Linked DNA regions of Mus musculus: regions 2 and 3 are each reported to be linked to region 1. Evidence: microRNA targets listed by miRTarBase, many of them from high-throughput screens and not tested one by one. Region 1 holds a microRNA gene; each other region holds the end of a gene's coding sequence.
Evidence for each region. The annotated mature microRNA mmu-miR-434-3p reads UUUGAACCAUCACUCGACUCCU and lies in region 1 at 5,264-5,285, opposite strand. An mRNA with a match to its seed (bases 2 to 7 or 8) in the 3' UTR can be bound and repressed. Matches are read on the target gene's strand: a 7mer-m8 pairs with bases 2 to 8, a 7mer-A1 pairs with bases 2 to 7 and ends in A, and an 8mer does both.

Region 1 (10,425 bases):
CTGTCTCAAGTTCTTTAGGGTCCAAGCAGGATACCTAAGCCAAAAAAGAAAAAAAAAGAGAAAAGACTGTTGGGTGAACTGAAGACTAAAAAAATACAAAATGCAAAAACTTTTTGATTGAAAAACAGCAAAATCAAATTTGGCTTAGGAAAGACTCAAGTCTTTCAACAGGAACACCTGTGGAGAAACGAGGAAGGAAGCTATACAAAGTTTAAAATTTATGTTTCATGCAAAACAACTTAAGCTCTCAATTTCCCAAATCAGGGAAGCACCTATATGTTTTCCACAGGAGCGATACTTGCCCCAGGCTCCACTGAGTGCTAAAGCGCGTGGGCTTTGTGTTGCGGGCAGGAAGTTTGTAAGGCTGGACGTGAAGAATGGAGTAGTCAAACGAGGGTGTCACGCAAAGACAGTGGGTTGTTTCAGTGTTACTGGAAATGTAGGAGAAGATTTTAAGTGGGAGTTTTGTGAATCAATTTAAGTTTCTGGGGTAGAAATCTGGACTTTATTTTGAGAAATCAAAAATTTCTATCACACTAAGGGCTTTGGGCTTCTGCCAAAAGGCTTTAAAAAAAAAAAAAAACTTAATGGTGAGATTGCTTGCTTGTGGGAGATAAGCTTGTAGAATGAATGATAAAACATATTTTATGGCTAACAGCTTTGGACTTTATTATTACAAGCAACAAGAAACACCGAGAAATCATAACTAGGAAAGTGAACAGGCACACATTTAAGATCGTGCCCAAACACTCTGACTTTCTATGTGGAGAGAATGCCAAAGTTTGACTCTCAGGGCAAGCCAAGGAGCTATGATTAATGTAGACACCAAGGAAAGGTTTCAATTAGAGGAGTTACATGGCCGAGTTGGGGACTATGCAGAGAAGTTTGGAATTTATTTAGAGGCTCAGACGTGATGAGGTTTTTGCACATGTTTAAAAATTTGATTTATCCAATTCTAACGGAGTGACATGGTGAGTTTTCTGTGTTTGATAGATATAACATAGCTCTGTTATGAAATCAAATTCTCGCCGCATGCCAAGAATCTAGACTTTTTATGTCCTGCACAATTAAGAGACATTGCCGAGTTTTTAAGGTGGGGTCACAAGCTCAAATTTAATGAACTGTGCTAAGACGTGCGAATTTTATTCTAAGGGATGACGTATCAGATTATAATATCACTTGAGTAAGTTTGGACTTGAGCCAACAAACGGCTTCAAAGTGTGATGGGAGATTTGTTGGTTTCTTTTTTTTTTTTTCTTTTTCTTTCTTTCTTTCTTTCTTTCTTTCTTTTTTTTTTTTTTTTTTTTTTTGGTACGTGACATGATAAGATCCTGTACTGTCTGTTAAGAATTTGGAGCTTCATGCTACATAGAAACTTTGCAACGTTTTAAATCTGGGAGTGACTCCTTACAGCCTGTGAATTCAGCAGAGAAGGGAGTGGACACTGTAATATATTTAGGAGATTTGACCCATGTGCAAACTGAAGGCACTATTGCATCCTGAGTGAGGGGTGAGATATCATTTCTGATCCTTTTGCATGGGGGCGGGGGGTGCTGCGGGATGCTTGGAGTTTGGCCAAGGAAGGATTTTAAGGAGTGAAATGGTGAAGAGTTTTGTGTTCAAAGGAATCTGATGATGTTGAAGCGTGTTTTTATGCTAAGGTATGTGGATTTGGTGTGCTGTTTACTGCGTGGGTGACTGTCCACTGGCCCCCTCAGTACCAGGGCATCCAGTGGGACTTTTTTCTTTTTGTGCAGAGAAATGGGGTGACCTCCAGATGAGAGGTTGAATGACATTTACATAGCGTGTCAGGTTCGACACGGTGGTGAGGGGTGTGAGGAGTCCTCTCATGCCATGCTGAAGAATTTGGATGCCAGCCACGATGAGATTTTTAGGAGAGTGATATCATGAGCTTTGCATGTTGGATAGTCTCAGTCTGCTGAGAAACGTATGGCTTTATGATCATACTTTAAGACTTGGTCTCCATAGGTGAGGCAGAGACTTTGTGAGGCGTTAAGCAGAACATAAGTACATGCATGTTGCAGGAAGCTCGACATTTGTTACCATACAATAGCTTTGGACTTTGTCAAAGATGTTTTATTGTGGCCTGTGAAACTGTGGGTTTTTGTATTGATTATGTTGATTAAATCACATGGTTTAAAAATAATTTATGCTAAGCAACTGGAACTTCATGGTAAAGAAAAGAAATGTCTGTGTATGTGAATATGTGTGCGTTAAATAGGAAAATCATAAGATGAAAATTGTTTATCTCAACTAAAGGTTTATTCTGATATCCAGGCATATTAAAATTTTTAGGACAAGAGATTTTTGGTTGAGGGCTGGAAAGCAGAAATATCTAATCCCTTACATGATCAAATTTGTCTGTAATATTTTAAGTATAGGCATTTTATTTAGAACGGGTATCATTTAGCTTTAAAATCGGATTGCTGCAAATTTAAAAATTGAAACCATGAGCAATTTTTAGGTGGAGACCTGCTGAGATTTTTATGTCCCGCAGATGAACTTGGGGATGAATTAGTCAAATTTTATATTTTAATAATAGACGACTTTTCCTGAAAGAGGAAATAAGTTGATTTATGTAATATGCTGTGCATGTTTCTGAGCTGATGGTCTGTACAGCAGGCTCAGGACCTGTGATCTCCAGTTCTAGGAATGAGAAGCCCAACGTGGACATTATGCTAAGGCCTTTCAATTTCAGCCAGGAGTTTTTTTTTTTTTTTTTTTTTTTTTTTGGTAAGTTTACATGTCAGACATGTTTATATAAAAGGTTTGGATTTAATATTGCCGACAGTAAATAAACAGTGAGAGGCTTTAATCAGAGGGGTTGCATGATCGAATTTAAGTGTCATGCTAACAAGGAGATGTCTAATTCTGAGAAACTGCAGACCCAAAAGCATCCTGCTGCAAGGTTTGGAGGATGGCCAACGGGAGTTTTACATGAATGACAACATGGGAGATTTCTGTTTATTTGGTTTTGTGTGTGTATGTGTGTGTGTTTCTGTTTTTGGATAGGTCAGCCCAGTGACCTTAAAAAAGAAAATTGAGAAGTAACAGAAGGTGCAGAATTCATAAAGACAATAGCTATATGGCTGAGCTATTGAATAACTAGCTTAATTTGTTTTGCAAACCAATACATCCCTTTAAATTCAATTTCCGTGCACTAAACCCTCCATGGCTAGATTTTCAAAAATTACGGAACAATCAGATTTCAAAGGTCCCATGCCCCCCCTTTCACCCAACTTCATACCTCTGTTAGATATACCCCTGTACCAGACGAAATCAACAGTGACAGAAAAGGGGGGGGGGGCACTTTTGAGAACGAAAACCCTGCTCCTGCCGAAGCAGAGGAGAAACTTGGAAAGATAGCATTTGTGAGACGTGCAGAAATGTTTGCATGAGCAGAATTGAGGCCAGATGTTTAAAGCTGCAGGAGCCCTGCAGACCAGGCAATCCTGGGAGAACAGTTTTTTTGAAAGCCCGGGAAAGGGTGTTTAGAAAGCTCCGACTCAGCTCAGAGCTGGAGAAAACGTGGCTTTGGACAGAGATCAAACCGAACAAGAGAAATGATACTATCCCTCCCCCACCCCCCTCTTATCCTGCATATGCACAAAGTGTGACCTAGGATGAAGCCATGAAAGTGCATGTTTTCAGCACATAGTAGGCATTTTATAAACATTTATGGGGAGCAAAATTAAAACCAAAAGCCATGGCTCTCTCTCACTTATTTCGGCTTGGAGCCTAGAGGAGGAAATAAGAGCTATTTTTGGCTGTTGACCCAACTGGCAGGATAGTGGCCAAGTGCCCAATTTCTCCTCTTTCCCCAGTTTGTGAAATAGCAGGCATCTCCCTGCAGATTCCCGCCTCCAACCAAGCTCACTGGGCTGGCTCTAGACCACCAAGCCTGCCAGCAGCCGCTTTGAGTGGCATTGAGATGTGACCTTTATGACTTTTGGGTGACTACAAATGGGAAGGGAACCTGGCCAGGGCAAAGCGGGCCAGAAGTGTGCCCTGCCAGGTGCTAGCTCGCCACAGAGGACGCTCCAGGCCAGTTGCTCCACAAAATTTATGGGCTGTGAATTTCTCATTCCACTAGAGGAAGTAGGCAGGTGGGGTAGTCAGACTCCGCCTGGAAGGCAGGTCAGGGGGTGACGGTCTTTCCCCTGGAGGTGCCCCAAGTAACCAGAAAAGGAGGCTGAACTGAATGCAGGAGGAATTTCTCCATTTTCTCTCTGATTCTAGTAACTTGGCATCTGCTTTGTCCTTGAGATAGAATCTGACCCTGCCATCTTGAGAACCTAAATTGCTACATTTTCTCCTGTCTTTTATCCCTCTGTCCCTAGGTTTTGGTCTCCACAGTTGCGGTCTCTGACCACACACATCACAATCTTACCAGTCTTCAGAGCACACTCCTTTCCAACCGACGACATGATAGAACCCTCTGAAGACTCATTTGAGACGATGATGGAGCTTAAGAATCCATCATCAAAACAAATGGAGTCCTCCGAGGGCTCATCCAACACCGTTGAAGAGACACCAGGCAGCAGTGGAGCCCAGGCGGGGGCCCAGGCAGGGGCCCAGGCGGAGGCCCAGGCGGAGACCCAGGTGGAGGCCCAGGCGGAGGCTCAGGCTGAAGCCCAGGTTGAGGCCCAGGTTGAGGCCCAGGCGGGCTCAGATAGTGGCCCAGCCCAGGAAGAAAAGGAGCCACCCAGTGGCCCCCTCAAGGAAATGCAAGAGCTGCCCACTAATCTACTCCAAGAAGTGGAGGAGCCATCCAGTGGCCCCCACCAGGAAATGCAAGAGCTGCCCACTGATCTACTCCAAGAAGTGGAGGAGCCATCCAGTGGCCCCCACCAGGAAATGCAAGAGCTACCCACTGATCTACTCCGGGAAGTGGAGGAGCCATCCAGTGGCCCCTACCAGGAAATGCAAGAGCTACCCACTGATCTACTCCGGGAAGTGGAGGAGCCATCCAGTGGCCCCTACCAGGAAATGCAAGAGCTACCCACTGATCTACTCCGGGAAGTGGAGGAGCCATCCAGTGGCCCCTACCAGGAAATGCAAGAGCTACCCACTGATCTACTCCGGGAAGTGGAGGAGCCATCCAGTGGCCCCTACCAGGAAATGCAAGAGCTACCCACTGATCTACTCCGGGAAGTGGAGGAGCCATCCAGCGACCCCTGTGAGGCATCATCTAACGATCTACCCCAAGACATGGAGGAATCAAGTGATGATGGTTCGAACCAGGAGTCGAGTGATGGTTCAAACCACGAATTAAGTAATGGTTCAAACCATGAGTCGAGCTTTGGTTCAAACCCAGAGTCGAGCGATGTTTCCAACCTGGAGTCAAGCGGTGGTTCAAACCAGGAGTCCAGCGATGGTTCACAAAAGGAGTCAAGCTATGATTCAAACCCGGAGTTAAGTGATAATTCAAACCAGGAGTTAAGCGATAATTCGAACCAGGAGTCAAGCGACAGTTCAAACCAGTCAAGTGATATTTCAAACCAGGAAGGGTCGGAACCACTCAGTGAGGCATCCGATTATAGCATGGATGAAACAATCAACTCATCCGAGACCCAGTCAGACCAAGATGATACTGACCTGGGAGATGACGAGGAAGAGGAGGAAGAGGAAGGTGGTGAAGAGGAAGGTCAGCCCAAGAACTCTCCAGAAGAAGTCGTGGCCACCATGGGGAACGTCATCTCGCTGTTCCTCCGGATGCAAGACCTAAAAGAACAACAGAGAGTGGCAGAAAGGCTCATGATGCAGGCTATCAACGAAGGTCGCCTGCCCTCCCTCAGGCCCTTCTCTGGAGATCGCAGAGACTACCATGAGTTTGTCGTGCTCTGCCAGATGACAATGCAGAACTACCCAAGTATGCTATACAATGATGAGCTGCGGGTGAAATTCGTCATCCGCCACCTGACTGACCTAGCCTTGGAATGGGCCAACGACCTCGTAGAGCAGAACAGCCCAGTGATAAACAACTTCTCAGCCTTCCTGGAGGCCATGTCAGAAAAGTTTGAGTATCGGCAGACCCTGCGTGTGGCGGAAGACGCCATGTTCAACATCAGGCAGGGGAACCGCTGTGCGGCCGATTACATCAATGAGTTCCGGGGTCTGATACCCACCTTAGGCTGGCCAGATGAAGTCCTGCAGGCCCACCTGTGCCAGGGGCTCAACGAAGAGATCAGGCACTATCTGTTCCGGATCCCTCAGCCGAATTCCCTAGACAACCTGATTGTACTTGTCCTGCAACTTGAAGAAAAGCTGGCAGAGAGAAGAGCATTACTCAGGCTGCCACCTGAGTCGCGCCCAAGAAGCGTAGCCTGGATGGATGCTCCCGCCCCAGAGAAGTGGAGGGTAAGCAGCTGGCTGCCCAATGAGTTCCACCCAGACATTGATCGCGATCACCTCTTCTTACTGCTCTTGGTGAGAGTGGACCCCTACCACAGTGTCGCAGTGCGGGCCCTGGTGGACTCAGGAGCAGAAGGGAACTACATGGATGAGAGGTTTGCCCAGGAACACTATGTGGAACTCTATGAGAAGCCTTATCCACAGATAATCCAAGGTGTGGATGGCATCCCAATTGGCAATGAACCCGTCTGGCTGTGCACCGAGCCCCTGGTATGTGTCCACCAGAAGCATTATGAGTACATCGAATTTGACATCTTACCTTCGCCCAACTTCTCCATCGTCTTAGGCATGAAGTGGCTCCGAACCCATGCCCCTGAAGTCGACTGGATGAGAGGCCGGTGTACCTTCCACTCTCCCTACTGTCTGCGGAATTGCTTCACCCCACCTCCACCATGCATCGCACTAGAGACATACAGCATAAGCCTACTGCCCGGATTGCCACACACATACTCAGACCTGGCCGACGTGTTTAACCCGAGGGAGGCAGATGATGAGACTTCCGACCAGCCAAGCTCAGACGGATCCGATGATCTTTCTGAATCAGAGCCCTCTGAGCTTCAGCAGGCTGGAGACAGTGATCAAAGCGGCGTCTTTTACGAGTCTGGGGCCCGAGAGACTTTGGAACCTGTGAGCGCCAGGATGCAAGAGAAAGCCAGGCAGCAAGAGAAAGCCAGGGAGCAAGAGGAATACTGGATACTGTATGACATGCTGACTGACAGACAAGACTACACGCAGATGGTACCAGAGCTATTCGACCAGCTACATGGAGCGGCATGGTTCACAAAACTGGAGCTGCTTGGGATTAAGGAAAGTGAGATGAGGCACACGGTCACACACACGGAAGACACTTGGAGAGCATCGTTCGGTTTCGGCCTTCACCAGATGAGATGCTACCGGCCCTTCACAATGAACTCATACTCTGACGAAGGGAACAACATTGTTCACTTCATCCTAAAAGACATCCTAGGGTTGTTTGTGATTTGCCATGGCAGAGAGGTCCTGGTCTACTCAATGAGCCAGGAGGAACACTCCCAGCATGTCCGCCAAGTCCTGGTCCGCTTTCGGTATCACAACATCTACTGTTCACTGGACAAAACTCAGTTCCATCGCCAGACCGCTGAAATCTTGGGCTTCAACATATCCCCCAAAGGGGTGAAACTGAACAAGAACCTTATGAACCTCATCGTGGGGTGCCCTGTCCCTGGCAGCAGGAGGTGTCTTCAAAGTGTGATTGACCTTGTCTATCCCTATCGCCACTTCGTGGAGAACTTCGCTGTCATCGCAGCACCCCTAGTGAGACAACTGCTGAGTTCAGAGCCCTACTACTGGGGAGAAGAGGAGCAGGAGGCCTTGGAATCCCTGAAGAGGGCTTTCCGCAAGTCGCCCGTTCTCTATCACCCTAAGCCTCAGAACCCATTCTACTTGGAAACAGACATCACTGGGTCATTCCTGTCTGCCTCCCTGGTCCAAACCGACGACGAAACTGGCAAGAAATCTACCTGTGCTTTCTATTCAAGACCCCTCTCTACAATGGAGGTGGAGTACCCTCGAGTGGAGATGAGGATCCTTCCAATCCGGGCTGCCTTCATGGTGTGGTGCCGCTACCTGGAGAACACCGAGGAGCCCATCATGATCCTTCTCAACACAGAGGATCTAGCCTCTCTGAATAATGACAGGCTCACCGTACTTCTCCCCGGGCATTGGGTCTTCTTCTTCTCACACTTCAATTTTGGTGTTATGGAGATGCCAGCTGAAGGTGACACACAAGCACTCTTCCGCAGATGTTGGAACCAGAGAGGCTTCAGAGCAAGGTTTCTGCGCCCACTGCTGCTTATGTCCATTAGGGCAAATCTAAGGTACTTTGACAGATCCTCTGAGACTGAGGATAAAGAGGATGATGAAGAAGAGGAGGAGGAAGATGGTGAAGAAGAAGAAGGGGAGGAGGAGGAAGATGGTGAAGAAGAAGAAGGGGAGGAGGAGGAAGATGGTGAAGAAGAAGAGGAGGAGGAGGAAGATGATGAAGAAGAAGAAGGGGAGGAGGAGGAAGATGGTGAAGAAGAAGAAGGGGAGGAGGAGGAAGATGGTGAAGAAGAAGAAGGGGAGGAGGAGGAAGATGGTGAAGAAGAAGAAGGGGAGGAGGAGGGAGAGGAGGAGGAAGAAGGAGAGGAGGAAGAGGAGGAAGAAGAGGATGAGGAGGAAGAGGAGGAGGAAGAGGAAGAGGAGGAAGAAGAGGAGGAAGAAGAGGAGGAGGAGGAAGAGGAGGAAGAAGAGGAGGAGGAAGATGAGGAAGAAGAGGATGAGGAGGAAGAAGATGAGGAGGTGCCCAGCATGGTGCGGGAGCTACTGGCTGCCATCCCGATGGACCATATCCTCAATGGCTTACTGGCTCACTTCAGTGTGGCCCAGATCCGGGCCGTTGTCCTAAACTTCTTCCGTGGCCTGCTCTACTGGAAGAGTCTCCTGGGTGTGGCAGCTGTCCTGGTGATGTTGAGAGCAAGGCAGCCCCTCTCCCCAGTGCCTGCCCCTAATTTGGAAGTGGCCAGGCCTCAGCACCGGCACACACTCCGACTCATCCTGGACTCGACCCTCATTGCGAGTAGTGGCATGGCCACAGCCATCGCTCAGTTGCTCAGCCAGATGCCCCCTCTAGTGGGTGCCAACACCCTCCCAGCTCGAGAGCTGGCTGAGCTTTTCCTGGGCCCAAGGTGCTGGCATCGGAATGCTCTGCATTCCCAGCCTCCACGGGGGATGCGCTTCACCCCTGGGTTCTGGTTGACCCTGTGTGAGTTCTTTGGGGTCAGAGTCAACCCTGAGGATGACGTCTTTCCTGACCCTTACCAGCACCGGTACTTGGAACTGCACGTCGTTGGGGATGAAGATGTCGTCTTGCGAGAAGCCCTGCAAGACGACCTGCAACGTTACCGTCAGTGTGGCCTGCATGACGGCCTGCAAGACACCTCGCAGGACGCGCAGGACAACGACGTGCAAGAGGACCTGTTTGGCGACCAGGAAGCGGTCACCTTCAGACCACGAAATCTTTTGGACCCAGAGGTCCTAGATTTCCTCAACAACCGGCTACTCTACACCCTGGGCACCGATGGCCGCCTTACTCTGCTTAGCAGAGATCAGGTGGCCCAGGCCCTCACACGATTCCTGGCCATGGCCTCCAGAATGGCGCTGCCTTCCCCAGCCAGGGAACAGGCAAGGCTAGAAGAGCTATCAGACTCAGATGATGAACTTGACTGAAAACACACCAAGTCACTGTCATTTTCCCTTGTGCCTCGGCCAGCTTCGCTCAGATCCAGCACACCCTCTTGCTACTCCTAACCCAAGGGGAACCCACTTGTGAAGGGCCACAACTTCATCAACCAGCAACATCATCTGTGCTAAAGAACTAGCCAACTATCAGCGTCCCAGAACCAGCCAAGACTGTGTAACCCTAACTGTCCTAACTGTCCGGGCCCCAGGCCCACAAAAGGGAGTGAGACCAATGAGGAGAGAGCAGTGATGAGCAACAGTGACCCCGTCACCCCAGGCCAGATGCAGAGCAGATACAGCAGGTGCAGCCAAGCAAGCAGATGCCAGTGACCCCACCACCACCCCCTGAGTGGCAGGCGGCCACCTGTGCATCCTGGGACACTGACCTTGGGTGCTCCACGGACTTCTACCTCTACACCGGTGCTCCGACTCCCCTGGACACGCCCCTACTCCCTCCCAGTCTCCCAAGGTGCTGTGGTTCCATGCTTTCCACAACCCCAGCCCACCCTGCAAGCAAGTCCACCCCCCCCCCCACAACCCACCCACCCACTACCGGTCTGGTCCGGCTCCATTGACACCTCATCTGACCCTGAACTCTGATCTTACCTGGGCAGAACTGCTCCAAGGAGCATTCGACGTACCAGTGTGACTTACCAGATGGACTGATCCACCCTGAAGGTCCCTGAGACTCAGAGGACCCAAGAAAGGGTGGTAGCAACCAAGTGGGGCTCC
Region 2 (10,425 bases), not on the chromosome of region 1:
ATATATGTTATATAAACTACATATATATAATATATATTTACATGGCTGAACACCATGTCATATATATAATATACACACATATATATATTTGTGTGTGTGTGTGTGTGTGTGTGTGTGTGTGTGTGTGTGTGTGTGTGTAATGCAACCTTTATGGAACACTGTGTGGCCATGAGTGTCAACATGCAGACAATGATGATAGTGTTGTTGGACATATATTGGCTGCTTAATGCATATGTGCATATCATACAGTGTTCTGGGTCCTTTCTGTGGTCTCATTTTATCCCTTCAGGGGCATTGGGAGAGGAAGGAATGTCAGTTGAGCAAATGCTTTTATAAGATCCAGCTAAGGCATTTTCTTAATTAGTCATCAATGTTGGAGGGCCCAACCCACTGTAGTTGGTGCCATCCCCAGGCTGATGGTCCTGGATTCTATAAGAAAGCAGGTTGAGCAAGCCAGTAAGCACCACCCCTCTATGGCATGTGCATTAGTTTCTGCCTCCAGGATCCAGCACTGCCTGAGTTCCCATCCTGACTTCCTGCAATAGTGAACAGGAATATGGAAGTGTAAGCCTAGCAAACTTCCCTGCCCAACTTGCCTTTTGGTCATGGTGTTTTGTCCCAGCAATAGAAGCCCTAAGACAACAGGCTCTGTGTAAGCAGTTGCTCAGGTCCTAGTGGCATTGGGAATGAATCTGAGGTGGCATGTGCTTGCCGTCACAGGAGATGGTGACCTTCAGGGATGTGGCTGTTGTCTTCAGCGAGGAGGAGCTGGGGCTGCTGGACGCTGCTCAGAGGAAGCTGTACCACGATGTGATGCTGGAGAACTTCAGGAACCTCCTGGCAGTGGGTGAGGACGGGGCCCTGTGTCCTTGGTGATGTCAGAGTTCACACCCGTGTGTCTGTTGCACGCCACTGCTTCCCTTTTAGGTTACTTATTTTGTATTTTATGTACACGTGAGTGTTTTGTCTGCGTGTGTGTCTGTGCCACATTCACTCATGATGCCCACAGAGGCCAGAAGAGGGCATTAAATCCCCTGGACCTGGACTTACAGATGGTTGTGAGCCAGCATGTGGGTGCTGCACACACACCCTGGGTCCTCTGGAAGGGCAGCCAGTGCTCTGTATGGCTGAGCCACATCTCTAGCCTCTACTTTATTTTTTGTTTTGTGGCAAGGTCTTGCTATATAGCCTAGGCTTGCCCAGAAATTTGATTCTCCTATCTAAGTTTCCTAAGCACTAGGGTAGCAGCTTTGTCGACTGTGTCTGACAAACTGCGTGCTCCTGGGGCCTTGCACTCCAACCCTGCTCATCTCTATTTCTTTTCCTGCTTCGATATGTGTGTCTCAGGTGTTGTCCTTTGCATCTCTCTGGCCACACAGTGCTCTTCCCTGGTGGAATTCCTGTCTCTGTCTCTCTGCCTCTCCCTCTCTATCTCTGTGTGTATGTGTGTTTTTGTCTGTCTGTCTCTCTCTGTCTCTCCGTATATATGTGTGTTTGTGTCTGTATGTATGTTTATGTCTGTCTGTCTCTCTGTCTTTGTCTGTCTGTGTCTGTCTCCCTCTCCCTGTCTCTCTTTATGTATATAGGTTTGTGTCTATCTGTCTGTCTCTGTCTGTCTCTCCCTCTCTCTGTCTCACTGTATATATGTGTGTTTGTGTCTGTCTGTCTCTCTGTCTTTGTCTGTCTCTCTCTCTCTCTTCCTCTGTCTTTCTGTGTATGAGTGTTTGTCTCTGTCTCTCTCTCTCTCTCACTCTCACTCTCTCTCTCTCTCTCTCTTCCCCACCCTTCCTCCCTCTCTGCATTTGTCTGCTGGGGAGCCCTCACAGACCCTGCTTTTCATGTGTCTCACCCTCACTCTCTCCATTCTGCACCTGCCTCCGCTGGTGTCTGAGCACCACCACACTTGTTACCACAGAGTTAGTGCTTCCTTCCCATTATCCTTCTGCACAGCTACACATAGGCTCTTCGAGTCAGGTGCTCAGCACGGGCTAAGGTAGCCTTGAGCCTTCACTCCCAGGCTCACCCCAAATTTCCCGCCATGGCCAAGTGTTGATTGTTCTTGGTTTTAGCTCTTTGTTCCTTAGAGCTTTCAGACATTCACCTTTGACACTGATCTCTAGTTAATATTTCCAGAAAGAAATGAGGACTGGCCAACTTTGATGTCCTCATCCTTGCTGATATCATCTTCTGTTCTCTATTCTTTCAGGATGCCAGAGTCCAAATAAGATGGCGCCTCTTGACACAACAGGAATAAGGTGCCTTCCATTGGGGCAGCTTCCATGTTGGCAAATGACCAGCCATGATGTCAACAAACTAGCCAGAGCTCCAGAAGATGGAATAAACACTCCAGGAAAGGGTCCTCACCTCCTGGAGCAGTGCCACTCCTCCTGCCACTGGGGAGCAGAGCAGCCTTCTCAGGCCCCCGAGGATGACGGCTGTCTGGAGAATCTCCCAAGCAATCATTCCAGCAGTAGTGACAATCAGGAATTTCTCTCTGGGAGGGCTCAGAGTTCTTGGAGTAAGGCACACTTTAGTGAGAGATGGAACCATGAGAAACACTGTCCTCAGACTCTGGTGAAAACGAAGTCTCAGCTGTTGGCTCCAGGTGTTAACATTCTGGGTTGCATTTCCCACCACGATCACAATATACTGCATAAAAGAGATAAAGTCCCCAGCAGCGGTGACTGTGATCAAGTCATTTTTCCCATGACGCTCCTCACCCAGCATTGTGTTTATAGAGAACAGAAGGCCTACCAGTGCAGCAGGGGCCAAGAAGTCTTCAGTGACAGCCCTAGTCTGGAACTTCATCAACAGACCCTCTTAGGAAAGAAGTCCCCTGTGCATAGTACTCACAAGGACACCAGGCATAGCCCCAGTGTCCCCATTCAACCAAGTGTTCATCCAGGAAGAAAGCGCTACTGGTGTCATGAGTGTGGCAAAGGTTTCCGTCAGAGCTCAGCACTTCAGACTCACCAGAGAGTGCACACAGGGGAGAAGCCCTACAGGTGCGACAGCTGTGGGAAGGGCTTCAGCCGCAGCTCGGATCTCAACATCCACCGCCGAGTGCACACTGGAGAGAAACCTTACAAGTGTGAGGTGTGTGGGAAGGGCTTCACACAGTGGGCACACCTCCAGGCCCACGAGAGAATTCACACAGGAGAGAAGCCATATAAGTGTGGAGACTGTGGCAAGCGCTTCAGCTGTAGCTCGAACCTCCACACCCACCAGAGAGTCCACACTGAGGAGAAACCTTATGAGTGTAATGAGTGTGGGAAGCGCTTCAGCTTAAGTGGCAACCTAGACATCCATCAGCGGGTCCACACAGGAGAGAAGCCATATAAATGTGAAGAGTGTGGGAAGGGTTTCAGTTCAGCCTCAAGCTTCCAAAGCCACCAGAGGGTCCATACCGGAGAGAAGCCATTTCACTGCAGTGTCTGTGGGAAGAACTTCAGTCGGAGCTCACATTTTCTAGATCACCAAAGAATTCACACTGGGGAAAAACCGTATAGATGTGAAGTGTGTGGGAAGCGCTTCCCCTGGAGCTTGAGCCTTCATAGTCACCAGAGTGTGCACACAGGAAAGAAACCGTATAAATGTGGGGAGTGTGGGAAAGGCTTCAGTCATGCCTCCAGTCTGCAGGCCCATCACAGTGTCCACACCGGTGAAAAACCATTCAAATGCAATGTTTGCCAGAAGCAGTTCAGCAAGACCTCAAACCTCCAGGCCCACCAGAGGGTTCACACAGGGGAGAAGCCCTACAAATGCGACACGTGTGGGAAAGCCTTCAGCCAGAAGTCCAGTCTCCAAGTCCATCAGAGAATTCACACTGGGGAGAAGCCGTTCAAGTGTGAGGAGTGTGGGAAGGAATTCAGATGGAGCGTGGGGCTGAGTTCTCACCAGAGGGTCCACACAGGAGAGAAACCCTACACGTGTCAGCAGTGTGGGAAAGGTTTCAGTCAGGCCTCATATTTCCATATGCACCAGAGGGTCCACACTATATAGAGACCTTAAATCGGCCATATTTGCTGTAGGGGCTATAGTCAGAGATCACATCTTGTCTTCCACCAGAGAATCCACACTGCATGGAATCTTTAGTTTCTGCTGTCAGGTGGGCTCTTGGCTGATGATTGTTAAAAGTATCCCCAACACGCAGAGTCTTCAGGAGACTTCATAGGAGCTTTATTTTGGTATTTTTGCCCTCAACTTATTCTCCTACTGTACTCATTATGCAAAGGGAAGAGAGTATTTTAGAATGGATCTTCTTAGCATATAAATAAAAGAATTAAACGTATATAGAAAAGGATTCTGATTTAATTATAAAAGGAAACATTGGCAATTGTGAGGAACAGGCCCAACAGGAATTGTAGGGCATCATACTAATGCTGATATTATATCATTATGGGTAATCAATAAAGATTGGCAAAGAGCTTGTAGCAACTGATAGGAGAATTTAACAACTATCCTAAAACCAAATGACTTCAGTTTATACAAAGTAATTGGATTCACCCCATATTGTAAAGAGAACATCAATTCCTGGAGCCCTTACATTTTATACTAATGTCAATAAGTTGGAAATGGCTAGTTATAATTCAGAAAAAACATAATCAAAGTCATTCAAAGTCCATATGTTTTGGGTTTTTTTTTTCCAGTTCAAAAATCAGAGTTCTATGACATTCTTAAGGAATTATTAGATTTTCTTGAATCTTTTCATGTAGTTACTGCCCGCAATATGCAAAAAATGTTTCGGATATAGAAACTACTGAACTTACTCAGTATGACCAAAATTAACTTCACTGTTTATTCAACTACAAAAATTAATTATAGGGAAATCATCCATTGTATATAACATGTCAGATTCCACAAGATAATGATGAAATTGTTCACCTGTTGATGGGAAATGTGCTAGAAACCTCAAATTTTCATAAGAAACACCATAATAAGACTAAAGGTATTGAGGGGGATTTTTCTATCACTTGGCAACAAGCCAAAGAAATTATAAGAAAATGTCCTATTTGTCCTTTATATAACCAAACTCCATTACCTGCAGGGAGTAACCCAAAAAGTATCCAAAGAAATTAAATTTGGCAAATGAATATGTTTCATTTTGCAGAATTAGGAAAATTAACGTATGTGTACCATACCATACTCAGGATTTCAATAGGCAGTTGCTTTAAGTTCTAAAAACTTGATTCTATAATTGCACATTTATTTGACATTGTGGCAATTATGAGAATACCTGGGCAGATTAAAAATGTTATCATTCTTGGATTCGTTTTCTCATAATAAGAACTTCTTCAAAATAAGGACTGTTTTTCAGTAGACCCAAGACACCCTCCTCACCGGATAAATATTGACTCTTGGCTAGGGACAAGGACATAACTTTGGCCCACAGAAAGTCATGTTAGGACATCCCTCCCTTCCAGGAGGGACGACCCCTGAACTTTCCCCCAGTTAACTGCTCTGCCCCTTTCAGGCCAGATCCAAAGGGAAGCCATTGTTCTCCTCAGGACTTAGTGGCCCATACTAGTAGAAGCATGGGAGACAATGATGCTGAGGGTGATTTGAACCATGGGAGCTCAAGAGGTTTCAGAGAATTTTAGTATGTGCACTAGAGACTGTTCTTGTGATATTTTGGTGAATAGTGTGGCTCTTTTTTGCCCTTTTCTGAAGAGTCTGCCTGAGGCTAAGATGAAGAGGTTATTAATTGTATTGGGAAAGGAAATCTTAAAACAGCATAATTTAGGCTTTGTCCTGCTCCCTCATCTGTAGGGCCCCTGCCGCAGACCCTCTGGGTCCCTTTGTCTGTGTGGAAAGGGTCTCTAGTCGAAGGTGGGCAAAGAGTCAGGCGAATGACAGACAGACCAACACACGAGATTGTGTAGAATCTGAATGTAGTTTGTCAAGTCGAGCATCAAACTTTTTATATAGAAGAATATTGAGAAACCAGACGAGACACAATCCACCAAGTGACACAATACAAAAGGAAAATATACATCAAAAGAAGATGGGGACCAGGCCGCTGCCCTTTTTATATAGAAGAATATTGAGAAACCAGACGAGACACAATCCACCAAGTGACACAATACAAAAGGAAAATATACATCAAAAGAAGATGGGGACCAGGCCGCTGCCACTAAGAAGGGAGCCAGGTGTAAAGCTAGTCTATTGTTAAATCCACCACCAGGGGTTCTACTCTAGTAGACCTTCTCATGAATACTGCAATACCACAACCCCCCTATTTCCTGGGCCCTGATAATTTCTTGTAACTTTTAAGTATCTGTGGAGAATCTCCATTTGTCAGAAGAATTCACCAACTTGCTTCTAATATGCAATGTAGCCTGTACTGAAGATTTCTATCTCAGTGGGATTACCTGGCTCTTTCATGGTAAACACTCTGCAGACCAGCCTTGAGCTGCTTTGTCTCCATCTTTTGTAATGCTTAATTAGTTACTGCATAGGTAACTTCCTTACTGCATTCCAACCGGATTCCAAGCTCATAGGCTTCTGGAACCTAGGAACACTGGCGAAGGCTCTGGCTATGTCAGAATTCAATCTTAAAAGGCACTTATAATAAAATAATACTAAAAGAGAGCACGTGGATCCATACACCAGACTAACATGGGAATAGGGTATGAGTATAAAGGTTAATGAGAAGTCCAAAACTCCAAGAGGTGAGTTTCTGTGAAACTCTTTGCCTCGTGAGTGCTTTCAGGCTTCTCAGCCTGTCAAGCAGTCTTCACTGGAGTGTGTGTGGCAGGCTCCCAGTAAAGAGTTAGGTCCAAATCCAAATCCATGGCCTGCACAACAGATTTGCCTGCCTCAAATTCCTCGGGCAATAGTCTCAAAAGAGCGGGGGGGACTTCATTTTCTGTATTATTCTCAGCACTTCATCCAAATTCAGGAGCATCTTCAAGCACATGTTGGGAGAAGGTCTCAGTTTTCCAAGGCTTATCCATGGGTGTAGGGATAATCTCTTGTGTACTGTATTTATGCATCATCTGTCAATAAAAGGCCCATGACCTTTAGGAAAGAGTAGAATAGAAAGTGGGACATCCACCAGAAAGAGAGAGAGACTCTGGGAAAGAGTCAGATGTGGGAAGATCCCACCTGGACAGAGGAAGTCAAATGCATGAAACTGAGGAGAGGTAATTAACCTTGTAGCAGGGATAGAATAGAATAAATGGGTTATTTAGCTGTTGTGGGAAATATTTAAAGAGTGGCACCATCCCATGCTATACCCAGCTACTCACTGCCCGGCAGTCTCACCACCTCTGCCTCTAGGCTAGCCCCAGCAGCGACCAGTCATGGCTCTCTTGCTGTGGGGTCTGCTCACATTCTCAGCCATCCACCCCTGTGGTCAGTGGTCCCAAAGCCCACTAACCCGGTAAAATCAAAACTCTTGAGGCTTGGAATTTATAAGTCAGATTTATATCAGTAAATTCTCACCCACAAAATGCCCACACAATGAACTCAGAGCCAACTAATATAGATATAAATTGCCCACCTAGATAAGACAAACTGTCCTGTAATTATCCATCCCTTATAAGATACTCATAGCTACTTGTGGCTATCTAAAGCCACTTGGAATCTGTATCATCTTGCTCTTCCTCCATCTTCCTACTTCCTCTGTCCTCTTTGCCTTTGAAAACTCTTAGCTCCGCCTGCCTTTTCCCTGTCCAATCACAGGCTTCTTGTTGTATTAATATTTAAATTAATTGGGGGGGAATCCTGCTACATTTAGTTATTGGAGCTAATCATGGAACAAGCCAAAGCTTTTGGCCTAGGCATTATTAATAACTAAATAAACTAGGAACTGAGGTGCGGGAGAAAAAAGCTTGTGGTAATGTGTGGCATCCGACACACGGGCTCTTAGAATCCAGGTTTAGAGCCTGAGAACGCCCAGGTGGAGGACAGGATGGTTCTCCCTCCAACCCCCCACCCCCCACTCCCTCTACCCCCTAACCACCTACCTCCCCTATACCCCACCCCCTTGTCTCACACCCCTACCTCACACCCCCTACCCCACATCCCCTACCCCACCCCCACACACATGGATCAAGAGGCGGGCTAGGAAAGAGCAGGAATCCCCAGGGAGGCAGTGTGGAAGGGAACCGGTTAAGAATCCCTTGCTGAGTAGAAAAGCCATCTCTTCTATGTGAGCCTAAGGGCACAGTAGCTGTGGTCCTCCCAAGCGTGGCAAGCTCCGGAGAAGGGACAAAGTGAGCTGGATGTAGCTAGGCAGCCAGAAGGAAAACTGCAGTCCAGTTCAGGTCCATATGTTAAAAGCCTGTAGCTGCTCAGGACTGGGATTAAGAGCTTTCACGGAGCAATGAAGCTTGCATACACTACCCTATTAACTGCAGCCCAGAGCCACATTCCCGGAGTGGACAGAGGTCAGAGGACAGGCTCAGCTCAGTGTAGCAATGGCATGTGGGCCCAGAACAGTAGACAGGTGTCCGCTTCTGTTTCGGCCTCTTCTTCCCTGTGGGAGAAGAACGGGAAGGAGGGTGTGGGGCCAGCTACAGGGAGATGTCTGAGCTAAACTGCAGAAGAAGAACACACACAGAAGAAATCTGAGCATATGAGAACTTCTGATCAGGTAAAAAGTGTTTAAAATTATGCTTTAATGCCAAAGAGGGAAAGAAACTAAGTCTAAAATATTATAGACGAAAATGAAGTAATTTGGAAATAATAAAAGTCAACGAAGAGGGTGTAAAGTAAAATTAAGAGGAATAAGCCACATGAAGACAGAAAGAATTTAGAGAAAATTAAATGCAGAAAAAGATACTAAGTTTTAAAGGCGGTAAAAGAGGGATAAACAAATGCACATAGATATTTTAAGTCTCCAGAGAAAAGAGAGAGAATGAAAAAATCTGAAAAAGGAAAGGAAAGAAATAATAGATAAAGGTACATAGACGCTAAAGAAAGTAAGCAAACTAAACATAGAGAGTAAAAAAAAAAAAAAAAAAAGAGTTTAAATAATAAAATCTCCATAGACAGCAAGAAAAAAAGTCTCCAAAGAAAGTTAGAGAGATTTAAAAAGTGAATGTTCTCCATGTTTAGAAATGGTAAACAGTGTAAAAGAGGGCATTTGAACCCCGTATTTTATCTTGACTGTCAACATACAAAATAACTTTATGTGCAGCAATGACTGTAGTTCTATATATCCTCTTTAAGAAAGATCAGAATAAAACAGACTTAGATAAAGAAAGGACTGAGCAATAGATTCGTAAATTAAAGGACATATCATAGAGATTAGAGGATTCATTTAACAGCATAAAGAATCTTCACAAAGTGCCAATCTGGAACCCAGAGCGCCAGGTGCGCTTAAATCCACAAAGGCTTAAGGAGATCACAGAACAGCAGCCCGTACAGATGCTGAATAAAAAAGCTCCCGCTGTGAACCACATCGGCTAGATGGGATATTATATTAATATTGTCAAGGATCAATTACCAGACGAAGGTCTATTTGCTGAATCAGAACTACAGATTCTGTTCAATGTCACCCTAGAGCAATGTCACACTATAGCTTATGTGTTTCATTTTGCAGACTTTGGAGATTTTTTTTCTAAATGTGCATAATACCATAGAGTCACATTCAGAGGTCCAATCCGGGTTTCGCCTTGGATTCTGAAAAGGGCGATTCTGAGATGAAACATTATTCAAATATGATGGCTATCTTGAAAAATGCCTTACTGGTTTAAGCTGATGATGCGTTCAACATATGTGTGCATTAGAAAACAACAATATTACAGACACTGTGGCATAGGGGATGTTACAGTTATATCTTATAATCTTACAGAACAATCGACTGTCTGACAGGACTTTAAAGAAAATGCTCATAGAGCAGAAGGGGCAGGGGATCTCCCAGAGATAGATTAAATAGTGATTTATTGACTTCACTTTTCAAAACATTAATGAGACAGGTAGCACAGCTGCTGAGAGATTTTGAAAAGAACTGCTGAGTTAGATCAGCCTATAAAAATCCTAACTTCAGAATAGAAGAAAGGGAGTATGTTACATAGGGGAAGATGTTTTGCATTTGTTTCAACAGGAGAAAAAAAAAGCTATAGATTCTTTCCAAATTAATAAAAATTAGATTTGACTGGGGAGACCCTCTGAATCTCTTGACCTTAGATGGGAAGAAATAAATTTAAAAAAAAAACAAAAAAACAAAAAACAGGTAACTTGTATTACTGGTCCCACTACATGGTCACAGCTCTAAAACAAGCTGAGACAAAAAAAAAAAAAAAAAAAAAAAAAAAAAGTCCCCGTCCATAATTTCAGCTATGCATAGTCAATAAATTTTGTTGGCTACAAAAGTCCCCGGAACTCATCATACCATTCTTTATTATGGCATGGATGAAAATTTATGTCATATTTGGCTATACAGTCCAAACCAACTGATAAAGAAAACATATGCTA
Region 3 (10,425 bases), not on the chromosome of region 1:
GACATTGCAGCTGAAAACACGGAAATTCTGTTACAATGAAACATCAGACCAAATGAGAAAGAATAGTCAGGGGGAGACACACAAAAGAAAAGCTAATTTTAGCTTAGGCCTGCTAGGATGGCAGACACCCTGGCCTGACATGCATCAATTGCAGATGGCAGATCACTTCCCATCACAATGTGTCAGGCAGGCTGTGAGAAGCTGTGAACGGTGACAGACACACGTAGACTGTCACAGCCCCAGCTGTCAGACAGAGGGCAGTCTTTCTTCCTGTGAGTGAAGACTGGAATCTGAGTACCAGCCTGTTGTCTGGAGCCTCATACCTTTTCCAAGAGTCACTGCTGGTGACCTCATCTTGACCTTTGCTGTCTACACACATGAACATTCCTCTACATGTCTCCTAATAGCTTTGATCCACTTCCAGTTGTTTTCTCTCTGTGTGTGTATCTTATTGGTGACTGGATATTCACTCTCCCAGATTTCTGCTCTGGCCATCTCCCCTACCACCATGGACTAAACCCCAGGATCTGTAAGCCCCAATACGTAATCCTATCTGAAAGTTGCCTTGCTTCTCATATTTTATCACAACAACAGAAAAGTAACTAATTCAGGGGGTCAGCCAGCTGACTGCATTGACACACTTCTATCAGAGAAGGACAGGTCCTGTGTCTCACTGAAGATTCCCTCACTGAAAGAAGATGGACCTTCCTTCTGTTCAGAATTTCCCTTGAACCCACTCTCTGTAGTCTTAAATGACAAATACTTTCTTCACTGCTACAATGTTTCATGGCATGTTACTTAAGTCAGGAAACTCACGTTGCAGCAATTGAAATGACCCAATGGAATGATGTCATAAGTCAGTGGATTTATTGTGTTCTTCATTATCCTGGATTAGATGGCATGATACAATAGTAAAGTGGCCTTTTGAAAATTTAATGCCAGTGCCATTAAATGGTAGTATAAGACTGTGTGTGGATGATGTCATGTTCTAGGACAAAGCTTATGCTCTGAGGCCCCATGTAATACAAGATGCTATTTCTCCCATAGTGAAGATGCACAGATGTGGAACAAAGAGGTCAAAAATGAAGATATTCCTCTCATTATTATGCCATATGCTCAGACAGTCTATATTTTTCTCCAAGTTTCTACAACTCTGATAGCTATACTGCCTTAGAGGATGGGTTTCAAAGAAAATAAAGCATCCTTCTCAGAGTACAACTCTGTCTTCCCATTAGATGCTGAAAAAATTGGGCCATTTAGTATCCTTGTACCAATGAACAAGAAAGCAGTGAAGAAGCTGATGGACTGTCTGACTATGCTAAGAGGATCATATAACAATTTCTACCTGAGGGGTGGTAAGAAAATGGAACTCTTACAGTTCAAAGAGATTCTCTATGGAAACAAGACATGGGTAACCAAATACATCTCAATATATGCATACCTGATAGTGGTATAGGAGTGTGAAAATGAAGGTTGTATATCTCCCCAGAGCAGGAACTAGTGCCAGGTAAAAGGTGTGCTGAGAAAAAGATCAGTGCTTGTCTTGTTTTCACAGATCATGACATGTTCATAACTGGTAAAAACACATCAGGCACTGGCTGCAAAGCTACCTCAAGAACTTGGTTATAAGCCAATGACCCAGCCACTCGGTATGTTCAACACTTTTAGTAGATGGGTGGTTTCTGTCAACCTACCTACCAGCTCCCTGCCTGTGGCTCTGCTTCAGCATCTGATACAGATTCTGGCCCTCGAACTGTACCTCTGCTTCTGTCTTCATGCTCCATCTTGCTTCTGTATCCTCTCATACTTGGGTTAGACGGCATTCCTACAACCAGCCCTTTATTCCCATCATACCTAGAGAGGCTCCATTTTCTGCATTGAACACTGACTTACACATTTTGATGTCCTACAGACAATATAATCAGCACAGCCTTCTACTGGAAAGCCTCTTCGTTGGAGTGTGGCTCTACCTGAAAGGGGACCCTGTTGCCCTCTGTCCTCTGACAGGGTGACTCACTCATCATTATTGGACATAAAACATTGGCACATGTTGCTGCTTACTACCTACCGTTGATATCATCTTTTCTGTTTCTACAAAGAAACCCAGGAGAGAGACAAGGTTTTTAAAGCTCATAGTTTTAGAAGCTCATTGCGTACAACTGAGTGGATTTCAGTGGTTGGGGCCATAACCACAGATAGTTCTACATTGTGGGAGGAACATGTATAAGGGAGGAGCTACATGTCTTAACAAGAAACAGAAATGACTCCCAAGCCAGGATCAACCTTTTATAGCCACTGTTTTCATGAAAATCACTGCAGGCCACCAGCATTCCCTTCTCAGTGTTTCCAGACTTCATCTAGAGGTAAATCATGTGCAAGAAGGGTAAGCAATAGAAACCTATATACATTATACATATACATACATATATATGTGTGTGTATTGTATATATGTATCTATATATAGTGTGTATTGTATATATGTATCTAGTGTGTACTAGATACGTATGTATGTATGTATGTATGTATGTATGTATGCATGTATGTATGTATATACATATATGTATGTATACTAGAATTATGTGGTCTTAACCATAGGCTATGGTCCAATTAGTCCACCAATGGCTGGATATGAATGTAGAGTCCAAGAACCCATCCAGAAATTACTCAATCTACAAGGCTTAATGTCTCAGCTAGTTTTCAGTAGACACTGGAGATCCAAAGAAGAGGTTTCTAGTGCCATTGAAGGAATATACTTGCTACCAAGGTAAAAGCAATCAGGCAACCATCCAAAGCTTCTTTCTTCCATGTCCTTATATAGGCTTTCAGTAGAAGGGGTGGTCCAGATTATAGATGTATCCTCCTGCCTCAAGATCTGGATGAGAAGTGGATCTTCCTACTTCAAATTAAGTTTTTGTTAAAAACCCTCAATTGTGTGCCTCTTATTTTTGAATGTTAGTTCCAGATATAGGCAAGTTGACAACCAAACATAGCCATCACAATCCTGGAGATCGGAGTTCTCATTCTTGGTTAGTAGCACAGCAACTATAACAGGGAAGCAGTCCTGTAGGCTGAACAGCCATTGGCTAGGTCTCAGCGCTCTACAGTAATCCCCAGGCTATATTCTCTGTGGTAGGTTCACATCTTGCCACAGATAACAAGGCAGCAAACCACCATACCCTTCATGAACTGAGTCTTCTCTTATCTGCACTTTTCAGCAGGTTTTTTGTAACAATGCTACGCATGTGCATCTGCAAACAAAAACTAAGCCAGGATCTTCCCAGATCCTCTGAGACACCATGGCTAAACATACCTAGGCATTTCAAGTTGTGATTATTCTTTATTTTTAGGTCTCTATAGAATCTGTATCTAGAAGAGTTGGTACCCTCTCAAGATACCACCTGTGTACAACACTGTAGGATATGGGTAATGGCAATGTGGGGTTCTCCAATTCGGCCCTGATGTAAAGAATGAATCACTTCTCTCTTGGTGATCTTTACCTAACTTGTCACATCCTAGTGTCATCTGAGAGGGAAGCCATGGGTAAGAAATTGCCTAGATCAGATTGGACTATGGGCGTGTCTTTGTGAATTGACGTAAAAGGACCAAGTTCCCTGGGGTAGAATTATCCCTGGCAGGTCGCCCTGACTGCATAAGAAAGCTAACTAAACAGTGAGTGTATGTCTAAAGAAGTAGCATTTTTTCATGGTTCCTGCCTCTAGCTTCCTGTCTCAAGTTCTTACCTTGGCTTTCCTATATGATAGATTCTAACCTGGAAGTATAATATCAACAAACACTTTCTTCCCCAAGTTGCTTTTGATCATGGTGTTGGTACAGCAATGAAAACTAAATAGAACAGAAACTGGTACCGGGGTAGGGTAGCGTTAAAGTGGACCTTGCCTATTTTTTTTTTTTTTTTTTTTTTTTTTTTGCCAGAGGGTTCTGAAAATGTTTAGAACTTTGTGGTAGAAAAACCATTGAGTTCTCAGAGCTTAATGAACTATTGTTGTAGGCATTTACAAGAGAAGAATTATGAGAGGATACAGACAATGGAGTCCTGGCTTCTGAGAATACAGTGGGAAGCAGAAGCACTACTAGGACCATTTGTGTGATATTTTAAGTTAAAAAAAAATCTCTGATTCATGGTCACAAAATATAGAAGAATCAGCTGTGATTGCTAAGCGATCAGCACCCTTGAGTGAACTTTTCTCTGGTTCACTTCAACTTTAAATGCACAGAAGCTGTGGTCCAAGGTGGCCAAAACTACAACTCATGCTGGCAGCTCAATCTGGCAATATAGGAGAGTCTCCCACATAGTATTGGTTGAAAAAGCATGAAAGTGTCAGGACATAAAGGATCATGAAAGAAGATGAAATTTTGCACTATGCAGAATGATTATAGAGTCCATGTGGAGAGGCCAGGAGATGCCTGTGGTGAAGGTGTAGCCTTAGTTGCAATGGAGGGTCACAAGACATTGGATGACTGCTAATACCAGAGTCAGGTGTGAAGTGATGGAGCCAGTTTAAAGCTGCAATGCAAGTGGTGTGTGCTGCGGATAAGAGGTGGAGAAGGGACCTGTCCAGACACTTTGTAGTACAGAAGGTCATAAGTGAGTCCCAGATGTCAGATATTGAGCTAAAGTGTTTGGATTTTTCATTGTTGGAGTTTAACTTAACTTTGATCATACTTATTATGCCTCATTTCTTTTATTTTATAAATGAAAAAAATGCAAGTTTCTATTTTACAGGAATCCACAGGTGAGAGAATTTGGATTTTAAGACTGGGACTGAAGAAGTTGGACTGTAATTTATATTAGAATATTAACATGAGATATTACATACAGAGAATGAACAGCTAGAGCCTAAAGTGGTGTGTTTGTGTGTCAAGTTGACAATAAACAGAGCATCCTAATTAGCTTTGCTTGTCAACTGGACACAAGCCTAGAATCACTGAGAGGAAAGCTTGACTTAAGAAATGCCTAGATCAGATTGGCCCTCAAAAATTTCTATGAGGGACTTTCATGATTATTAATCAAGAAAATTTAGGAAGAGTCAACCAACTGCGTGTGTCACCACTTCTAGCCAGGTGGTCCTGGGCTATTAAAAAAAAAAAAAAAAAAAAAAAAAAAAAAAAAAGCTTGCTAAGCATAGACCCATAGACTAGAGGTGAAAAATAGCATTCCTCCATTGTTCTTGCTTCCCAGTTCCTGCCTTGAATTCTTGCCCTGTGATGGATTATGACCAAGAAGTGTAAGGCCAAATAAACCCCTTTCTTTTGCAAGTTTTTGTTATGATGAGTGTAACAGCCACTTGATTCAAGGACTGAATGAACTATTATGTTATATTGCTAGCATGGACAATTTGTTGTCTGGGGTTTGCCAACTTACTTTGTAGTTGTGACTTCTGATCCATCTGTGCTGAGAGCTGGGTTTGGAATTGTGAGATCTTACCTAATTTTCTCTGCATCGTTTGTGACTGTAAAACCGAATGTCACAATGATTAGATTACGATATACCTGTGGCAGAGGCTACAGAGATGGTTCGGTTGTTATGAGCACGTGCTGATCTCTGTATTATTTCTCTGTTCCTGTAATAAAACAGCATGGCCAAGGCAACTTAGAGAAGAAAGGGTTTATGTGCCTTACAGTTCCAGAGGGATAATAGCACAGGGTGGCATAACATCAGAAAGCTGGAGCAACAACCAAGACCTCAAATCTCAAAATGCAAGCAGAAAGCAGAGAAAGAGCAACTGAAGAGAACATATGGATTTTAAAATCTCAAAGCAGTCACAAGATGTCTCCACTTTGGCCACACCTCATAAAGAAAGAAGAAAAGTAATGGGGTGAGCAAGCAAGGGGATGTCAGTGTGGCCTTGTGTAAGGTGAGTTGCATGGCTGGCCTTGAGAATAACCTATGAGGCAATCATTACTATCAGCATAGTACAAATGAAGTCACCCCACCCTGAGGAAATCAAGGACCAGCTGAAAGTCTTTATTCAGTGACTCAGCAGGAATCTAAATACAGGAAATCTAATGTCAAAGTTCTTATTCTTGCCATTACATCATGCCACTAGAGAAAGCAGAAACGTGAGAAGAAAAATAAAAAAATACTATTTAAAATCATGTCAGGGCATTTTCGTTCGACCTGAGAGTACAGTTTTAACTTCTGAGTTTGAACAATTTGCTAAAGACCTTTTCCATATAACACAATCTATTGCATAAGTGAAGACTAAATGACTTATTCTTAATGTTGAATGTCGTAGTTCTATTAAATTACTTCACATTTTCAAGCTCGAAGTTCAATTATAGATGAGTGATAAGTTATAGCATATTTAAGGTATGCAATTTAATTGTAAACTCAAATATATTACAATGCATGGAAAGCATTATAGCATCAGGTAAAAATGATAATGAACTATGTTTACTCCATGAATGACACATAGCCACTGTCAACACCAAGCAACATGAGTCTGTGGGTCAGGGTCAATGACAACACAGCCTCCTATTTCAAATTAGTGGAGGCACTTCTGGGTTATCCTCAAAGTCTGGATCTTCCTCACTGGGTTCATCTCGGGGTTGAGATTCCATTCTTTTGGGTCTGTGTCTTTTCTCTTGTACTATGGTAGACACATCAGGGCAAGAATGCTTGCTGGGGTCAACTTCCAATCTTTCTATCTGCTTTTTTCTACAACAGAACAAGACAAGTAGGAAATAATGTTACATTGTTTAAAATTAAGCTTCAAAGAAAGTAAACCCATATATTCATTCAGTGAATGCTTCGCGCATGGTGTCTATATGGCATAGAGATTGCAAAGAAACACTGTCCTTGGTTTCAATAATTATAATGAATTCTAGAAATAAGATTTTTACCCATGGAAGAAAAACTAGCAATCAGGGCTGTGCTACTATTATATAGGCAGCAGGAGATGCAGAATTTGAGAAGCTCTCTTAACTAGGAAATTAAAAAGCAGAGTCACAGGCCAGGATCAACAGAACTCTAGCCAAGTGTAAGTCCTGAGCTTTGTTATGGTGGAGATATTTAGACAAGTTCAGGTACACAATAAAGCTCAGCCCACAGCTTCCGTTAGCACAGGTACTTGCTCCTACTGCCCATGCCCAATACTTCCAGAGGTGGTATGATTGCAGAGGACCAGTGAGAGACTCCATTGTCAAAAACTCCCAGTGTTTCGATGAACTCTGTTCATGACACACATTCCTGTGTTCCTTTAACAGCAATTTTTATTCGTTGCACCTAGACTCCAGACCAGTGACCTACACATTTCTACCCCCCCCCCCGCCCTCGCCCAATGATTCCTCATGTATCCAGACATATTGTTTTGTAATCACTGCACAATTCATTCATTGATCCACTTAACAGACACAGGTCAAATGCCTCTCTGATCCTGGAACCACAGTAGACTGAGGACAGACACCGTGCATTATAAAATGCCAGATTTCTCGTCATAGTGCAGTACAATGTGAGAACATGGAATTTATTAAAGCATCGTGGAAATCTATCTCTATCATACTGGTCTGTTTTCAGAGAATGCTGACATCCTCAAGGCTGAAATTTTGCATTTTTAAATGTTCTCCCTTGACATCCAGTTGTATTTGAATAAATGATTATTTTGTAAGTGAAAAAAGTATTATCCTTCTTAGGAGAAATAATGGATTTATATAAGAAATTGTCTTGGCTTTATGGAGGAGTTACAAAGTGACATCCTTAGGTGAAATGTGTCCAGCAGATACTGTCTGTTGGGATGTGGAAAATCTATTCTTGGGAATATAGTGCTTGAAATCTCCTCCTTATTCTTAGACTCTGCTCAGCCCTTCTGGACATTTGAACTAATTCCTCTCAGTGTTTTGAATAATATCCATGGACTTGTTGAGGAAGAATACCAAGCATATAAATACTATGCATTCCGTAGTCCAGCCTGTGGGCTGTAAATAAACTCTGTATGCTGGGGTGCAGGAACGTAGGCAAGAATGGACTTGCCTGTGCAAACAAGTGACCCAGGTAGCATCTGAAGAAGGGGAAACCAGTACTCAGATAAACAGCGATTGTAGAAAGATGAGACCTAGCTACACCTTCCCCTCAGAATTAACTATAGGTATATAAAGACTTGAAAGACTGGGGCTGGCTTCCCTCCATCTCTTTAATGACATGTAACTTCCTTGAAAGTCAGGATTCACACTGTGCCAGCAGCAGGTATGGACAGCATACTGTGTGCTTTCCTCCTGGGAGGAGAATTTTAGCATGTTCTAGACCCCCAGTGAAAATTTCAAGTATGGAGGTTCTAATGAGGAAAAGACTCTTAAAAGCTTGCCCCTACATCTTCCGCACAAACCCAGCAGAGGGTCCCAAGGTCCTCAGAGAACTCTCCGTGCCACAGGTGCCCTAGCACACCCAGGATCTTGAAATCACTGGTGAGTGGAAGCAACATCTGTTCCAAAAAATCCTGGAGCGTCCTGTGCCAGCAGGAACAGGGACAAAGGAACCCTGCCCAACCAGAGGCTGGGATTCCGTCTGGTGGCTCCAGCCCCACAAATCTTGGGCACGAACTTGGCAGACCGTAGCACACCCAGGATCTTAGAATCAATGAGACCAGCCTACACAAATGAGCACATGGGTGGCAAAAGCAACAGAGTTTTTTGGACAGGGTCCCTTCTGGCCTTCATCTGCAGCCAGGAGGCAGAGCTAAGACCCAGACCTCTGGGCACCTTCCTTGCCAGAAAAGAGTTGGCCTCCAGGGAGGGCTCTGACCCCTGGAGTCAGGAGGTGGATCTGAGCTCCAGACTTCTGTGTACCTTCCCTGCAAGAGGAGAGCTTGCCTACAGAGAGTGCTCTGACCACTGGGACTCAGGAGAGAGTTGGACTCCCGGGAGTGCTGACAGAGGCTAACAGAATCACGGGAGGAACAAGCTCCAGCCAGAGACAGCTAAAACATCTAACACCAGAGATTACCAGATGTCGAAAGTCAAATGTAAGAATCTTACTAACTGAAACCAAGACCACTGGGTGTCATCAGAACCCAGTATGCCCTCCACAGCCAGTCATGCATACCCCAACACACCCGAAAAGCAAGACACAGATTTAAAATCATATCTCATGATGCTGGTAGAGGATTTTAAAGGCATGAATAGCTCACGTAAAGAAATACAGGAGAACACTGATAAAGGAGGAGTCCTTAAAGAATTACAAGAAAACACTGCTAAACAGATAGAAGTCCTTAAAGAGGAAACATAAAAACCCCTTAAAGAGTTATAGGAAAACACTAGCAAACAGGTGAAGAAATTGAACAAAACCATCCAGGACCTAAAAATTGAAGTAGAAACAATAAAGAAATCACAAAGGGAGACAACTCTGGAGACAGAAATTCTAGGAAAGAAATCAGGAACCATAGATGCGAGCATCGGCAGCAGAATACAACAGATGGAAGAAAGAATTTCAGGTGCAAAAGATTCCATAGAAAACACAGACACAATAATCAAAGAAAATGAAAAATGCAAAAAGATAGAATTCAAAACATCCAGGAAATCCAGGACACAATGAGAAGACCAAACCTAAGATTAATAGGTATAGATGAGAATGAAGATTTTCAACTTAAAGGGCCAGCAAATATTTTCAACAAAATTATAGAAGAAAACTTCTATGACCTAAAGAAAGAGATGCCCATGAACATACAAGAAGCCTACAGAATTCCAAATAGACTGGACGAGAAGAGAAATTCCTCCTGACACATAATAATCAGAACAAAAAATGCACTAAATAAAGATAGAATATTAAAAGCAGTAAGGGAAAAAGGTCAAGTAACATATAAAGGCAAGCCTATCAGAATTACACCAGACTTCTAACCAGAGAATATAAAAGCCAGAAGATCGTGGACAGATGTTATACAGACCCTAAGAGAACACAAATGCCAGCCCAGACTACTATACCCAACAAAACTCTCAATTACCATAGAAACCAAAGTATTCCATGACAAAACCAAATTCACACAATATCTTTCCATGAATCCAGCCCTTCAAAGGATAATAAAAGGAAAACACCAAAACAAGGATAGAAATCACACCCTAGAAAAAGCAAGAAAGTAATCCTTCAACAAACCTAAAAGAAGACAATAGCAAGAAGAGAATCACAACTCTAACAACAAACATTATAGGAAGCAACAATTACTTTTCCTTAATATCTCTTAATATCAATGGACTCAATTCCTCAATAAAAAGATATAGACTAACATACTGGCTACATAAACAGGACCAAACTTTTTTTTTCCATTTTTTTATTAGGTATTTAGCTCATTTACATTTCCAATGCTATACCAAAAGTCCCCCATACCCACCCAGGACCCAACTTTTTGCTGCTTACAGGAAACCCACCTCAGGGAAAAAGACAGACACTACCTCAGGGTAAAAGGTTGGAAAACAATT

Region 2: miRTarBase lists Zfp93 as a target of mmu-miR-434-3p. Seed matches in the 3' UTR shown: 7mer-A1 at 4,649-4,655.
Region 3: miRTarBase lists Lrrc6 as a target of mmu-miR-434-3p. Seed matches in the 3' UTR shown: 7mer-A1 at 6,166-6,172.

What each region holds. Positions count from the first base shown.
Region 1 is chr12:109,589,425-109,599,849 of GRCm38, reverse strand. Mir434 (microRNA 434) reads right to left here and starts at 5,344; the gene lies at 5,251-5,344. It overlaps Rtl1 (retrotransposon Gaglike 1), which reads left to right. Exons shown (of 2, transcript NM_184109.2): 2 at 4,362-10,425. The coding sequence starts at 4,447. The coding sequence ends at 9,681. 6430411K18Rik (RIKEN cDNA 6430411K18 gen) reads right to left here and starts at 8,313. Exons shown (of 1, transcript NR_002848.3): 1 at 6,999-8,313. It overlaps Mir127 (microRNA 127), which reads right to left and starts at 7,004; the gene lies at 6,935-7,004. It also overlaps Mir432, Mir3071, Mir136, Mir431 and Mir433.
Region 2 is chr7:24,272,528-24,282,952 of GRCm38, forward strand. Zfp93 (zinc finger protein 93) reads left to right here. Exons shown (of 4, transcript NM_009567.4): 3 at 721-847; 4 at 2,207-5,267. The coding sequence ends at 4,002. It overlaps Gm51471 (a long non-coding RNA gene), which reads right to left. Exons shown (of 2, transcript XR_003946726.1): 2 at 5,875-6,998. Among named protein-coding and RNA genes, the nearest start is that of Zfp93, 7.3 kb to the left of the region's middle.
Region 3 is chr15:66,373,893-66,384,317 of GRCm38, forward strand. Lrrc6 (leucine rich repeat containing 6 (testis)) reads right to left here. Exons shown (of 12, transcript NM_019457.2): 12 at 5,966-6,679. The coding sequence ends at 6,502. Among named protein-coding and RNA genes, the nearest start is that of Gm41340, 25 kb to the left of the region's middle.